2 linked regions of the Astyanax mexicanus genome follow. The protein of the gene in region 2 purifies or fractionates together with the protein of the main gene of each other region. This does not show direct contact. Links are inferred from orthologs where the notes say so. Each region holds a gene or a part of one and is shown on either strand. Other genes may lie near its edges.

The links. Proteins that work in one complex are often made in the same cells at the same time.
Region 1: the proteins of exosc10 (region 2) and exosc5 purify together in Homo sapiens (co-immunoprecipitation; 8 studies listed by BioGRID and IntAct, with this or other methods). This does not show direct contact. The link is inferred for Astyanax mexicanus from reciprocal best matches to the Homo sapiens genes EXOSC10 and EXOSC5.

What each region holds. Positions count from the first base shown.
Region 1 is NC_064416.1:2,328,453-2,335,889, reverse strand, and holds the start of exosc5 (exosome complex component RRP46), read left to right. Parts: upstream 1-4,379; 5' UTR 4,380-4,459; coding exon 4,460-4,559; intron 4,560-5,434; coding exon 5,435-5,548; intron 5,549-6,244; coding exon 6,245-6,366; intron 6,367-7,357; exon of another isoform or gene 7,358-7,437. Other genes in the region: bckdha (2-oxoisovalerate dehydrogenase subunit alpha, mitochondrial), read right to left, coding at 3,141-3,254. UniProt on the Homo sapiens protein: Non-catalytic component of the RNA exosome complex which has 3'->5' exoribonuclease activity and participates in a multitude of cellular RNA processing and degradation events.
Region 2 is NC_064419.1:17,930,504-17,937,988, reverse strand, and holds the start of exosc10 (exosome component 10), read right to left. Parts: upstream 3,048-7,485; 5' UTR 2,983-3,047; coding exon 2,860-2,982; intron 2,645-2,859; coding exon 2,508-2,644; intron 390-2,507; coding exon 266-389; intron 1-265. Other genes in the region: serine/threonine-protein kinase mTOR, read right to left, coding at 6,302-6,317, 6,491-6,596. UniProt on the Homo sapiens protein: Catalytic component of the RNA exosome complex which has 3'->5' exoribonuclease activity and participates in a multitude of cellular RNA processing and degradation events.

The DNA.
Region 1 (7,437 bases), on a different chromosome or scaffold from region 2:
TACTCAAAAGAAAATAAGACATTTCACTAAATAATAAACGACCAACTGGTTTCCTGCTTTAGGGCTTTTTCACACCAGAATTATAACGACTTGATCGTATCTCAAAATAACAAACTTACTCTCAAAATAATTATTTACTATATTAAAATAACAACTTACTATCTCATAATAATGACTTACTATCTCAAATAAATTACCTACTATCTTAAGACAAAGAGATAGTATCTCAAAATAACAAATTTACTATGTTAAAATATAAACCTACTGTTTAAAAATAACTTGCTATCTCAAAATAACGACGTACTTTCTTAAAATAATGAGAAAGTATCTAAAAATAACTCTCAAAATGACGTACTATCTCAAAATAATTACCTACTATCTCAAAATAACGAGACATTATCTCAAAATAACGACTTAATATCCTAAAATAATGACTTACTATATCTCAAAATAATTATTTACTATGCCTTACTTACTATCCCAAAATAATTATTTATTTCAAAATAATGATTTATCTCAAAATAATGACTTACTGTCTCAAAATGACTTACTATATTACTATATACAGGTGCTGGTCAACGAATTAGAATAATTTGAAATAGTGCAATCATGAAATTCTTTGAATGCATTTTTTGTGCAGAAAGCAAATCAGGTGTTCACTGCACCTGTCCTACTCGCTAGACTAATCACAGAACTCGTTACCTGGAAAAAAATTTGCTCAGCTGAGCTTTCCAAAAGGCCCATTTAGGCCATTTAACTGTGACACTGTTGTTTTATTGAATTAGAATAATGGAGAAACCGTTTCATTGAATTAGAATAATTTTTATTATAATTACAATCATCACTTTCTCAGTATTTTGTGGCTGCCCCCTTGGCTTGTATGACTGCCTGAAGTCTCCGCGGCATCGATTTGACCAGCTTGTCGCAAGTTTCCGCACTCACAGCTTCCCAGGCAGTGGCGATGTTCTGCTTCAGTTGGTCCAGCGTAGTAGGCTTTCTGTCGCGAATTTTCCGCTTGACGATGGCCCAAAGGTTTTCAATGACATTGAGGTCAGGCGAGTTGGCCGGCCATGCCAAAACTTCAAGCTGTTTTTTAGTGAACCAATCTTTGGTCGACTTTGCCGCATGAGCCGGTGCAAGATCCTGTTGAAATATGAAGTCTTCTTCGCCGAACTGTTCCTCAACAGTCGGAATCAGGAACGTTTCCAGAACATCTTGATATACGGCAGCATTGACAGTCTTCTTGAGGAAGCAGAGTTTCCCTACACCTCGAGCGGACATGCATCCCCAGACCATAACGCTCTGGGGAAACTTGACGGATCTTTTCACGCACTCGTGGTTGTAGGTTTTGCCACCACGACGCCAGACACGAGGACCTTGGTCACCGAAGGAGATGCAGAAGCGTGATTCGTCACTGAAGACCACTTTCTGCCAGTCTTCAGCAGTCCACTCGCCGTGTTCTTTGGCCCACTTCAGCTGTTTCTCCATTTGTTTCTTGTTCAGCATCGGTTTTACTGCTGGAACGCGAGATTTGAAGCCGAGTTCGCGCAGACGACGGTAAGTGGTTGATCTGGAGACGTCAGCGCCGGTCTGCTTGTTCCACAAGTCGGTGAGCTCGGAAGTGGACTTGAACCGGTTGCTGACTGCGATCTTTCTCAGCTGCTTGTTGTCGAGAGCAGAAGTTTTTCGGACGCCGGAACAGTTGGTGCGCTTGCTGCAGTTTTTCTTGAGAGCTTTGCAGACGGAAGACTGGCTGATGCCGAGCTGCTCAGCAATTTTAGTTTGGGTCAAGCCTTGTTGGCGAAGGGCTTGAATTTGAGCCACTATTCCGGTTGAGAGGTCGCGCTGCTTACCCATGATTGATTTTACAACTTAGAAATTCTACTCAACCCTGACTTTATACTGCACAGTGAACACTCTTCACAGAAAACAAAAATTCGAGCATTTATTCTAATTCAATGAAACGGTTTCTCCATTATTCTAATTCAATAAAACAACAGTGTCACAGTTAAATGGCCTAAATGGGCCTTTTGGAAAGCTCAGCTGAGCAATTTTTTTTCCAGGTAACGAGTTCTGTGATTAGTCTAACGAGTAGGACAGGTGCGGTGAACACCTGATTTGCTTTCTGCACAAAAAATGCATTCAAAGAATTTCATGATTGCACTATTTCAAATTATTCTAATTCGTTGACCAGCACCTGTATACCATATATATATAGTATACCAAAAAATACTTACTCTCAAAATAATAACTAACAATTTAAAAATAATAATATAGAAGTTAGACAGAAAAAAAAATCAAATAATATATATATATATATATATATATATATATATGTATATATATATACATATATATATATATATATATATATATATATACATATATATATATATATATATATATATATATGTATATATATATATACATATATATATACATATATATCCCGCCTTGAAGCGTGTTATATTCCACACCCCCGGAGCGGACCAATCAGAGCGAAGGAAACGGCGCAGCGCCGTGAAGGTTATGCGCATGCGCGGTGGCTAGGTTCTCGCAGCCAAAACAAATAGACCGGTTTCAGTAAAAAAATATATAATATAATATAATAACTTCATATTAACCTCAAAATCAGCAGCATAAACCAGTTATTAATAACTAAACTTATTAACAACAGCTGAATATGCGGTTTATTAACGCTTCACACAACCATACACACTATTAAATATATAAGTTACATTAAAACATATATATTAAATATTAAAATAAAGTTATATAGAACCACAGCGTTACAGAGTCTGTGGACAGCTGTATTTATCTATCTATACTGTAGCTTATATGCTTGTATTATATGTGTGTTTTAAACAATATAAGCCAGTGTTGTTTTTTTAGTCCAGGTGAGCAGCTGGTTTACCTGTATCAGATTCACCTGTATAATAATATTGCATCTGATAATAACCCCTCACGTGCTGCTATATATCTTTATTACAGTATAAAGCTCTAGCTGAGGGTTATATATTAAATATATATCTGCAGGTGGGCATTACATGCTACTGTTTAAGCTGCAGCTCAGATCAGACCCACAGGAACACCTGTACAGGTGAGCAGCGCGCGCTGTGCGGGTGAGCAGGTGAGGTTACCTGGGTGCGGAAGGCTCTCCGCTGCAGGGCTCTGACCGAGTTTAATGCTGAATTTTGGCGAAACGCGTGAAAACCGAGTCCGACCCATTTCTGCAGCCTCCGCACCGCCGCCATGTTTCAGCCTTACTGTCCTCCCGCACCGCGCTCACAGCGCCTCCTGCTGCAGCGGCGGAGACACCGCACTGTATATACACTATGAATATAACTGAGAAATTACTGATTATATATACACACAATTACAAAATCAGCATTTTAATACAACTAATATTTCACTTTCAATATTTCTTCACATCTCTTATAAATTCATTAATTCCCTAAGAAATAACACACTTAAAAAACAACAAAAAAGAATATATATATAGTAAATTATGTAGCTAAATTAAAAAAAGATAAAATTGCTAATTAATAATTAAAATGAGAAAACAATATTGTTTATGATAATAATGTAACTAATGTTTCATTTATTAATAATAATAATAATAATAATAATAATAATAATAATAATAATCATCATCATCATAATCATAATAATAATCATAATCATAATCATAATAATTGTTATTATTATTATTGTTATTATTATTATTATTAATTATTATAATTAAAAAACAACAACAAAATGCAAGAAAAATGTGTAATAGCGGAAGCATGTAAAAAGTTATATGTGACGGTGTATAAATAACTAAACAGTTTCTATTAAAACTTTTATTATTAAACTATTATTATTATTATTATTATTATTATTATTATTTATTTATTTATAATAAAGGTTAAAGCTGCAAATAAAAAAATGACATCAGCATATAATAAAATAAATTAGGAAACATGGGAAAACCAAATACAAGAAAAATGTATAACAGAGGAAGCATGTACATAAGATTGTAAAAAAAACGGTGTCCTTTAATTAAATTAAGAATTATTTTAAATTACTTTATTAATAAAATATAAATAGCATGGTTAAATAATGAATAAATGACCGCCTTCTGTTTTATTTAACTTACATTTATATATTTGTTCCTTGGAAAAATACTATATTAGAGTATTATAGTATTTTTAAGAAAATAATTCAATTACAAAACACTATTGCAAATCAAATCAATCCTCTTTCTTATTTAAACGAAAATTCGTTGTAAATAAAATGCCTAATAAAATACAGAATATTTTAGCTTAACTAGTGTAAACTGATTTACTGTTTTTACCGGTAGATTAAGGACTTTTATCTTATTAAAGCGTCATCAGAGTGCGCGGTAAACAGTGACGCTGTGAGCGGGCGACGGGCCGGCGTGCTGCAGTATCGCGGGGTGCAGGGTTCGGCAGTGATGGATCAGATAGAGACGGGTTCGGGTTCGGTTCTGAGGGAATACGGGAGCGAACAGAACCTGCTGTCCAAACCGGACGGATCAGCGACCTTCCTACAGGGTATTTATCTATATACTGTCTCTGTTCTATTGGGTTCTATGGGGTTCTAAATGGGTTCCTCTGGGTTGTGCACTTGTTTACAAGACTCTATATTGACTATATAGGGCTCCACAGAACTCTACCCTGTTCTGTAGGTATCTACAGAGTTTCTATATGGCTATATAGGGTTATATAGTGCTCCAAAGGACTCTAGTGTTCTATAGGCCTGCACATGACTCTACAGTGTTCTGCACGATTTCTATAGGGCACTGCCGAGCTCTACGAGTTCTATAGGGTCCACATGACAATATATCAATTAGTCATTTAGGCAATCAACCGTTATTTTCACTCAGAAGTACATTAAGGGCAACCCTCATTTTCAATGTAGCATTCACAAATACAGGGATTAACATGATGATAAATTAAATAATAACTACATTTAATAATCTTAAAATAACAGTTAATAAAAGAGAGGGTTTCTGTAGGGCACTACAGAGCTCTATAGGGTTTCTATAGGCCTCCACAGGACTCTACAGTGTTTTGAACGTCTCTACAGAACTTGGGTCTATATGGCACTGCAGAGTTCTATATTGGTTAAATACGGCTCTACAAAGCTCTATATGGTTTTTATAGACAACCACAGAGCTCTACAGGGGTTCCATATGAATCTACAGGGTTTCTATAGGGCACTACAAAGCTCTATTTGGTTTCTATAGGGCACTACAGAACTCTACAGGGCATCCATAGGGATTTAGAAGGTTTCTATTGGACATTACAGAACTCTATAAGGGGCTCTACTCTGCAGGTTTCTGGAGGATTTTTCTGGGTTCTGTATTGATCTTGTGTTTGTGTGTGTGTGTGTGTGTGTGTTTCTGTAATGGTATATGTGTTTACAGGGGACACCAGTGTGTTGGCAGGAGTTTATGGACCTGCTGAAGTGAAAGTGAATAAGGAGATCTATGACAGAGCGACTCTGGAGGTGGTTGTCCAGCCTAAAGTGGGCATGTCAAGTAAGTAGCTCTGTGTTCAGAGATACTAAATAAAAAAATAATTTATTAATTAATAATACACTATATTGCCAAAATGCACAACATAATTGTACTCACAACTAGTTATTTATTTGATGTAAAATGGACCTTCTAAAATGTTCTGTGCATTATATAATATTTAGTCAATGCGCAGAGCCGTCATCATTAAGCATTAAAAAATGGAATAGTTATAATATAATATATAATATAATAAACTTTGCTTGTATATCATCAAAAAAAAACGCAGCTCAAAATGCTTCAATAAAATTAAGTAAAACAGAAAACTGTAAAACGTAAAAAATTTAATAAACAGTTTTTGTCATTTTAGTTCACATTAATATATTGTGCACACTCCTGTTTTGGAATTTTATTGTATAACTAAGTGCAAAACATACCTGATGTCTGAAAAACTGAGCACAATAATGCAGCATGAGTCTACTAGTAGGTTAAAGTAATATTTATTGTTAGAGCCCTATTTAATTAATGTAATTCTCATTACAATACAGTGAACATATTAATTTATTTATAACACTAATCATGCTTTAATATTCCTCTAGATTAAAAGCCTGTTGTTGGTTGCGTTACCCCCTCTCACCACAGGGTGGTAGTCATGTAATAGTGAAAATCTGTGCGTGTGATGAACGTTCACTAATCCGGTTCTGTAACCCGGTTCTGTAGGTGTGCGGGAGCGTGCGAGGGAGCAGTGTGTGAGGGAAACGTGTGAGGCTGTCCTGCTGTCCACTCTTCATCCTCGGTCCTCCCTCGCACTCATCCTCCAGGTGGTGCACGACGACGGCTCTGTATCCTTTATAAATCCACACCTGTTTATAACTAGTAACGAGTCTTTCTCATCTCTGGAGGAATTTAGTTCCACTCTTCTTTACAGAATTACAGTTTTAATTCAGACACATTGGAGGATTTTCCAGCATAAACGTCTAAAACTGTTTAAGATCATCCACAGCATCTCAATCAGACTTTAACTAGACCCTCCTAAACCTTCATTTAGTTTTTATTTATTTTTAATCCATTCAGAGGTGAACTTTTTGTTTGTGTGCTTTGGGTCATTGTCCTGCTGCAGAACCCAAGTACTCCTGAGCTTGAGGTCAGTAAGGAACAGATGGACGGATTCTGATTCTCCTTCAGGATTTTCTGGTAAAAACAGCAGAACTCCTGCTTCCATCTATTACAGCAAGTTAAAGTCCGGCAGCTCCAGACCATCATAACGCACACACTACCACCACCATGTTTTACATTTTACGTTCAGTGAGAGCAATGTTCTTTTATTGCTGAAATTATGTGTTTATTATAGTTTTATGCCAGATGTAACGGGACACACACCTTCCAAAAAGTTCCACTTTTGTCTCTTCAGTCAAAATATAATATTTACCCATAATTTTAAAAAGGAAAAAACAATTTTTCCTAAAGAGCATCATGATGTTAATTGATAAATGTTGTTCTGGGTTCTTTTGGGATCTCATGGATGAGTTGTTCATGCCCTTTTGGAGTAATTTTGTTCGGTCGGCCGGTCACTCCTGGGAAGGTTCACCAGTTTTCCATGTTTTTTCTAGGGGTGTGACGAGATCTCGTCAAGCTTAAACCTGTCTCGCAGGGGGAAAAAAACAGTAGTTTAAAAGCTCCGCGGTACAGTTAAAAAGCTCAGTTAAAAAGCTCAGCTCAGTTTAAAAAAGCTCCGCGGTACAGTTAAAAAGCTCCGCAGTACAGTTAAAAAGCTCAGTTAAAAAGCTCAGCTCAGTTTAAAAAAGCTCCGCGGTACAGTTAAAAAGCTCCGCAGTACAGTTAAAAAGCTCCGCGGTACAGTTTAAAAAGCTCAGTGGTACAGTTTAAAAAGCTCAGTGGTACAGTTTAAAAGC
Region 2 (7,485 bases):
TAAAAAGCAGCAGCAGTGTGAGCAGTGATATATTCTTAAAACTGCATTTCAATTACTTTAATGTAGCGCATCATGCAATTAAACAGGATTTTCTAAACTCCCTGTAATTAAATGTTCACTTGGTCACTTTTGGTCACTTGGTTCACTTTATCGATACGATAAAATTTATCATGGTTTATAACGTCCAGCTCTAGCTGGCACATGTAAACCGTGTACACGTGTTAAATTAAAACATGTAGTTTAGAAATTGGGCATTCATTCCTACCACTTTCTCCAGGATGACATCATTGGACTCAACGACCAGATCAAAGCGCTCCTCCAGTCCCGTCAATTTGTTTTTGTCATTTATGTGTGATCTGCAGCCGTGGTGCTTCATCAGCTGACTCATACTGAACAATGCAGAACATTATAAAACAAAATGAGACATCAAAGCAACTGAAAATCATGTAAAAGAGATGCACACATGCACGAATATTTAGGTTGAAGACCCCATATAATATTAGATTTATACCACTGACTGTATTGTCTACCGATCGATCAGTAGGCTGACTGGGACAATTCAGGTTCAGGAACCTCCGTCAGAAGGCTGCCATTACCGGCCCAGACTGTGTTTACCTTGTAAAAATTCAACCTTGTAACTGCTGAGATAACATGACCATGTGGTGCCTGTAAGGGAACCAAAAGATTTTGTCCATGGGTTCTATGTCGGTCAGTAATGAGCCCCACCAGGGACAGTGATGGGACCAGGAGGGGTTAAAGTTGGGCCCCATTTGGATATAACACTGCACGTAAATCCTAGATGGGACCAATGTGAGGTTAAAATAGGATGTAAGAATAGGGCCTATTTTTGAAGCCCAAATGGGTCCCAGAAAACATATGTACAAACCCACTCCGAACACATGTCCCCCTGTAACCTAAGGTCCAACCATGCAATGCCCACATTAGTGGTGGTCTTTTATGGTCTATTAAAAATGAAAATCTGGTTTATACAGCCTATACTGGTGTACTTATTGAAAATATCATCCCAGACAAGCTGAGCGAGGTTACCAGTGACACTTCTTTGGATTAATTATCATTAGTGAATAACAACAATGATAAATATGGTGATAAACTAAAACTAGCTGAAATGCCATTCCTGCTGCATCCAGCCTTGTAGTGTTAGCTGGATATTAGGGATATTACCGTATGTATAGCACAAATGATTACATCTGTGAACACTTCTGAAACTAGGCTTTAAAACCCACAGATCTTTTTATTTTTTACATTTCAGTTGACAGACCAAAACAACACAAACAGACTCTCCAACCAGTAAAGGTAAACTGCTCTCATCAAGAAATGTGTGCTTATAGCACTGCAGGTTTCACTGTTTTTAAAAATATCTGAATGTGTGAGAACAGGCCTGAACCAATACCTTGTCACTGGGGACTATTATTATTTGTCACAGAAAATTTTGCACATATCTGTTACATTTGTTTAATGATATTTGATTTCAAAAACAGGTTTTAGAGCCAAAATGCTCTCAGCACTGTGATGAAACTGTGTCTTAGGCACCATGCAGTGTATTTAGAACCATTTGGTGCAATACAATTATATGAGAGTTTTTACAAGTTCAGAAATATGTGCCTAGAACGGCATGCTTTACTTTTATTACATTTCCTCCTATTTAACCAAGAGGCCATACATATTTTATCTGTAAAAACAACAATCCTAAAGTCTAAGTCCTAGAATTAAACAGAAATAGTGTTCAAATAATTAAATAATCAGTATCATGTTAATAGTACTGCAGAAAGTGAACTGTATGACATTCTGCTGTTTTAAGTATTGACATTTTCACTTTCAAAATTGAATCTATTATTAACTACTATTATTAACATTCTGTTCTAGAAATCAGGTCAGAACCAGTTATATGGAATGTAAAACATTTAATTATAGCGTTTAAAATCGTTGAAATGTTTGGAACAGACCTGTAAACGCAGAAAATACACAAACTCCTTTAAAAGGATATCGCCAGCAATTTTATCTCCAGCACTTCTACTTTGTGTAAATAATGTGAGATGAACGAATAAACACAGATTCACACACTGTCTTGTAGTGATGCTTTCAGGATGTTCACTATATGTCACTTAGAAACTTCATGAGTTGATGTATCCAAATTTTTTATCTAGAGCTGTATTTGGGACTACAGTTTTTTAACTTCTAAAATGTAATTATAGATAAGGACATGTTGTTTTATTTGTAATATGACTAGTCAGAATGTGTTTACAGACCTGCAGTTAGATCTGATGTTACTAATAGTAAAGTTTTTTTTTTTCATAGCTAAGAGCAGAAACGAGAGCGTTTACTAGTATAAAACAGTGCTATATGTGATTTTTGGTTTGTAATACAGTCTATAGCTTGAGTCAATACTATGGCTTTAAGTCAGAATCAGCAATAACAATATTGACAGTAACGTAAGATTAAATAAATACATGTATTTAAGTGTTTAAAGCCCGTCTTCTCTCTCTCACCAGTGTAAGAGTCGCTCTCCCTGAACAGCACAGAAATCCTGAAACCCAGGAAAACTCCTGTAGAAGTCGAACTCGTCTCCGGGCTGAGGGAGACCCCCGGCCGCCTTGGTGGCGGAGACCACCGTGCCCAGTCCGTGCTGTAAAACACCGTTAGAGTTCATTAGAGAACAGGAGCCGCTAACCCGTCAGAGATTTAACAGCGCTAAGCTAACCGGCTAATGAAAACAGAACCACGAGTCCAGCGTTGCTGCTGCTGCAGGAGGAGCTCCACGCTGCCGCTGCGTGTTTATCTCACAGCGCGGAGACCCGCGGCTCTGCTCGTTAACCCCGGGGACCGGAGCGCCTTACTCACCTTCACAAACGCGTCCACATCTCTAAACCCCGGGCAGAACTCCCCGCTCTCCGCCCCCGGGGCTCCGCTGCCGGAGTCACCGCGGGCTCCAGAGCCGCTCTCTCCGCTCACGGGCGCAGCCATCACTACCCAGTACACCCCGCGAGAGCAGCGCGGAGCGGAGCACGCGCAGAGACCCGTCTTCTTCTCGGGAGTCTCAGAGAGACCGCGCGCTCTCTACCGCCACCTGCTGAACCGCACCGCGCTGCTCCCCTGACCCTTGATTAGTTAAAACACTACACATATTTTATATGTTTTTCTTTTTTTCTCCGATTAATAATCGATAGATATAAAAAAAAAGAATCGACACATCAATTATTAAAATGATCAGCAGTGGCCAACATGAAGCTTTAGAAGCATTAACTATAAACCCTCTTTTAGAAAATAGTTCAGTATTTTAATTTCATTTTACAAATGGGACAAAAATGACCCACTTTCATTTTCTATGTATCTTCATGTATGGCTGAGGGTTTCTATTATATATCTCAGCAATAAATGAATTAAGTCATTTAGAATTTAATGGTGTTCTTCTGCTAAAATCCACATTTCTTGTTCTTTGTGCAATACTGTAGGTCTCTCTGAGTTGTATATGATGCTGCACATGAAACTCTTCCTCAACCTCCATTGTCTGCAGTAGCTAGTAAAAGAAAATATTCAGAAAAACAAGTTGATCAGGAAAAGTACCGTGTCTACATCAATCAGTGAATTGGTATTCATGGCCTTGCCCACCTTGGCTCACGACCTCCCACAGGTAGTGCTGATGCTAGGCAGCAATGCAGTCTTATCAAATAGGAGCTAACAGTGCTAGGAACAGCATGGCAGTTTGTTCCTGTGTTATTTGTGCAAATAACACATCAGTGTTATATGCTTTACCCAGTAATTCAGAGCCAAGGAACAAATGGTTAGAATTTGTCTATAGAACACCACCAGCGAAGTACAATTGAGATAGCTAGGTGTATGTTTAAAACAGTTATGTAAACTAGTTAAAATAAAAATTAAAAAATTGTTTTACTTTCTGGACCTGAACTACCCATCTCTGTGTGTAAATATAGGATTTACATAGGATCTCCGGTGGATTTCCCGTTATACAGAGATTCTAAGACTAGGTCAGTGGCTAATCTGCACTTAGCAGAGAATTACACATGTTGTAAAGTAGCATATGACATTGCAAAGACTGTTATTAGTTTTTAAAAAAAATCTTTATTTTAAAACATTTCTAACTGTTGTCTGTCTTGCGGCCAGGTGAATACTAGCCAGCCAGGTTGGATGGAGAGCGTCTGTGAACAGCAATTTTCATGTCTTGCCACAGAAGCTCAGTGGTATTAAGGTGAGGACTTTAACTGGCTTATTCCAACACATCAATATTCTTTCATTTAAATATTCCAATGGAGCTATGGCTGTATGTTTAGAATCACTATCTTGAATCTTCTTCCCAGCCTCAAATCTTTTACAGCCTCCTCCAGGTTTTCTTCCAGGACTGCCCTGTATTTAGCCCCAGCTGATGCTGCCACCACGTTTCACTTTGGGGATGGTGTGTTCAGAATGATGAGCAGTGTTACTTTTCTGCCACACAAATCACTTTATATTTAGGCCAAAAAAGTTGAACTTTTGTCTCACCTGACAACAGAACCTTCTTCCACACGTTTGCTGTTTAGACAGCACTTTTTATGTCTTTCTTTCAGCAGTGGCTTTCTTCTTGCCACTCTTCAATAAAGGCCAGATTTGTGGAGTGCACGACTTACAGTTGTCCCGTCGACAGATTCTTCCACCTCAGCTGTGTGTGTATATATATATATATATATATATATATATATATATATATATATATATATATATTACAATTCCTTTTTACAACGCTTAAAATAAAAGTTGGCACCAAAAATACTGAGCGATTTTGAAGTGTTACTTTGTTTATTTAAAAATGTCTGCGCATTAGTGGGAACAGCTCAGGACTGCAGGAAGAACAGTCTTATAACTGTACCCTCTTCTTTTGCAGCCAAGCCTTTGTAATGGGTACAGCTTGTCATTATGCTGAAAAGTGTACAGATGCATCTGGGGAAATAATCATTTCGAAGGCAGTTCTATGATCTCAATGGATTTTTCTTTGGAAAGATATGAAGAACTTTCAGGTGACCTTTTAAGGATATTTACTTTTTTAAAAGAGCATGGCAACAAAGTTTCCATTTGCATTCATTATTTAAAAATTATATCATGGTCCAACCAGCAGTAAAACTTACTTCACAAATAACCAATTTTCTTTTAAATTAATATGGGTAGTGGGCATCTGTTCACTTTAAATGTATTGTTAGACTCCTTTTATTCTTGATAAACATTTAAAAGGGACATACTATGCAAAACTCACTTTTTGCATGCTTAAGCATTTCCACTTAAGTCTTGACTACCCATATAAACACTCCATATGAAACTCCATTTCTTTTTTATTTTGGTTGAGAAACTCAGACAATAGGATTAGTCAGTAGACTTCGACTGAGGGAGGGATCTGTTCCTGCTGTCTGTGACCAGTCACCTGAGGAGGGAGATGTAAGCACTTTCAAATAATGAGTTTTGTGCTCATATCAAAGTTAAGCATGAACTAGCTTGCTCATGTTTTGCCGTTTAGATTAGCACAATGTAACACTAACAAACACGTTTTGTATAGCACATACACTTCACATAAATTCTAACTTGTGTAAAAATAGATACAACATGTCTTTTAAATATAGAAAGTCTGATGATGCCTAATTCCTTTGTTATTCATGTGACTGGTTACTTTTTTTCTCTGACTGGTTATTTACACTTTTTCACTTATTTTATTAATGCATGGTTATTATTATGTTATTTATATGATTTTACATGGACTATTTTTTAATTCACAGGATTTTTGTGCATGCATATGTAGACCTGCTCCCACGTACAATAATTCTATCCTGTGCTGCACAATGTAAAGAGACCCACCAGTTCCAAGTTGAAGAAATTACTGCATACATGAAATCAAACAATGGACACATAAAGAGCTCAAACTCTTTTGAAATCCACTCATAACAGAAATATGACACCCCAGAAAACTCACATCAGGATATTATAAGCACACAGTTACTTACAGTCACATACAAGGCAAAACAACATTCATCACAAGAGGTGTTCAAAAAAGCAACAAAAACAGGCTTTTCTAAAATTTATTGGCAAAGATGTACACCACCTTCAATCAAGTATTCTGCTCCACTTTGTGCAGAATTCTATGTATAACATTATTAAATTAATAAAAGTCAGACATACTTTAAAATGTCTTTTCATGCAACAGATCTCTTTTCTTAAGCGTATTCAGCGGACTCAAACATGGCAGCGGTAGAACATAGAGAATCAGCAAAGAACAAAGACAGCAAAACAAAGCTTGAGTGAAGCTCTACCAAAACGGACACCTGAGGAAAGAAAAAAGAAGAAACAATTATTATTGATAAAATTAATTCATTATTAATCACTGAGTGACCCATATAAATAGTACATAAGTACATAATTACATACATCATTTACTCAGGTTAAATTGGACAAATGTCCTTCTAAAACGTGTTTTTGAGGATGGACAACTACATACCATCCAATGTAACATTGGCACAGGTTCTCGTGTGATGTGGCTTGCTTGATCAGCAGCTCCACTTGGGTTGGGACATCCAGTGTCTCATCATGGGAGAAGTCCCGTCCTAGAATGAGAAATAACAAGAGGTCCAGTGTGACTGAGGTGAAGCAGCATTCTGAGGGTTTACAGCGCTCCCTGGTGGGGAAGCTTGTGAAGTTGGTGAGTGTTTCAGACAGTATCTGAATGAGTGTAGTAATAATTAAGGGTGTCAATCGATTAAGAAATTGAATCTGATTAATCACAACAAAATTCTGTGATTAAATACGAATAATCACATTTGTTTTTCTTCAGACGTACATTTTTATAGTGGATAATTAAATGTAAATAAAACGCAATTACTGTATATTAGTGGTGTCAATTAAAATAATAGTATATACTTGTATGTTTGAGGGGGGATTAAAATCAACGTAGGGTGCTGGAATAAAGAATGCATGATAAATTGGATTCTAAAATTGGTTGTGAGGATTTCTGAGTTCTAACTTGATGCTTCTAATTTGATGAGGATAAAAATCTAAGGGATGAGGAGCAGGAGGGCAGGAAAGCACCTGTCTGTGTGTGTGTTCATGTGTGTGTGTGCAGAGAGAGAAAGAGAGAGATCTCTAACCGGGTCGGAGCTGGAAGTCTGAACTGGAGTGTTACTGCTGGACACCGTAAGAGCACGCCTTTCAATCATTTAGCCAGAAAACTAATCAGTGCGTTGGGCGGGGGCGGGGCAGATTACAGCAGAAGTAGGGGTCAAACTTGGTGCCTTTATTAACTTGCCTTAAAAAAATAGTAACGCGTTACTGATTCCAAGTTAACGCTTTAATGTTGACCGCCCTAGTAATAATCCATTTGTGAGAGAGAAAAAATGGTTGTTTATATAGTGAATAAATAATGTTCATACAGGTTCTATTTATACTGGTACTGTCATTCTCTCCCATCACTATTGTCTTGTGTCTCTTGTGTAACGT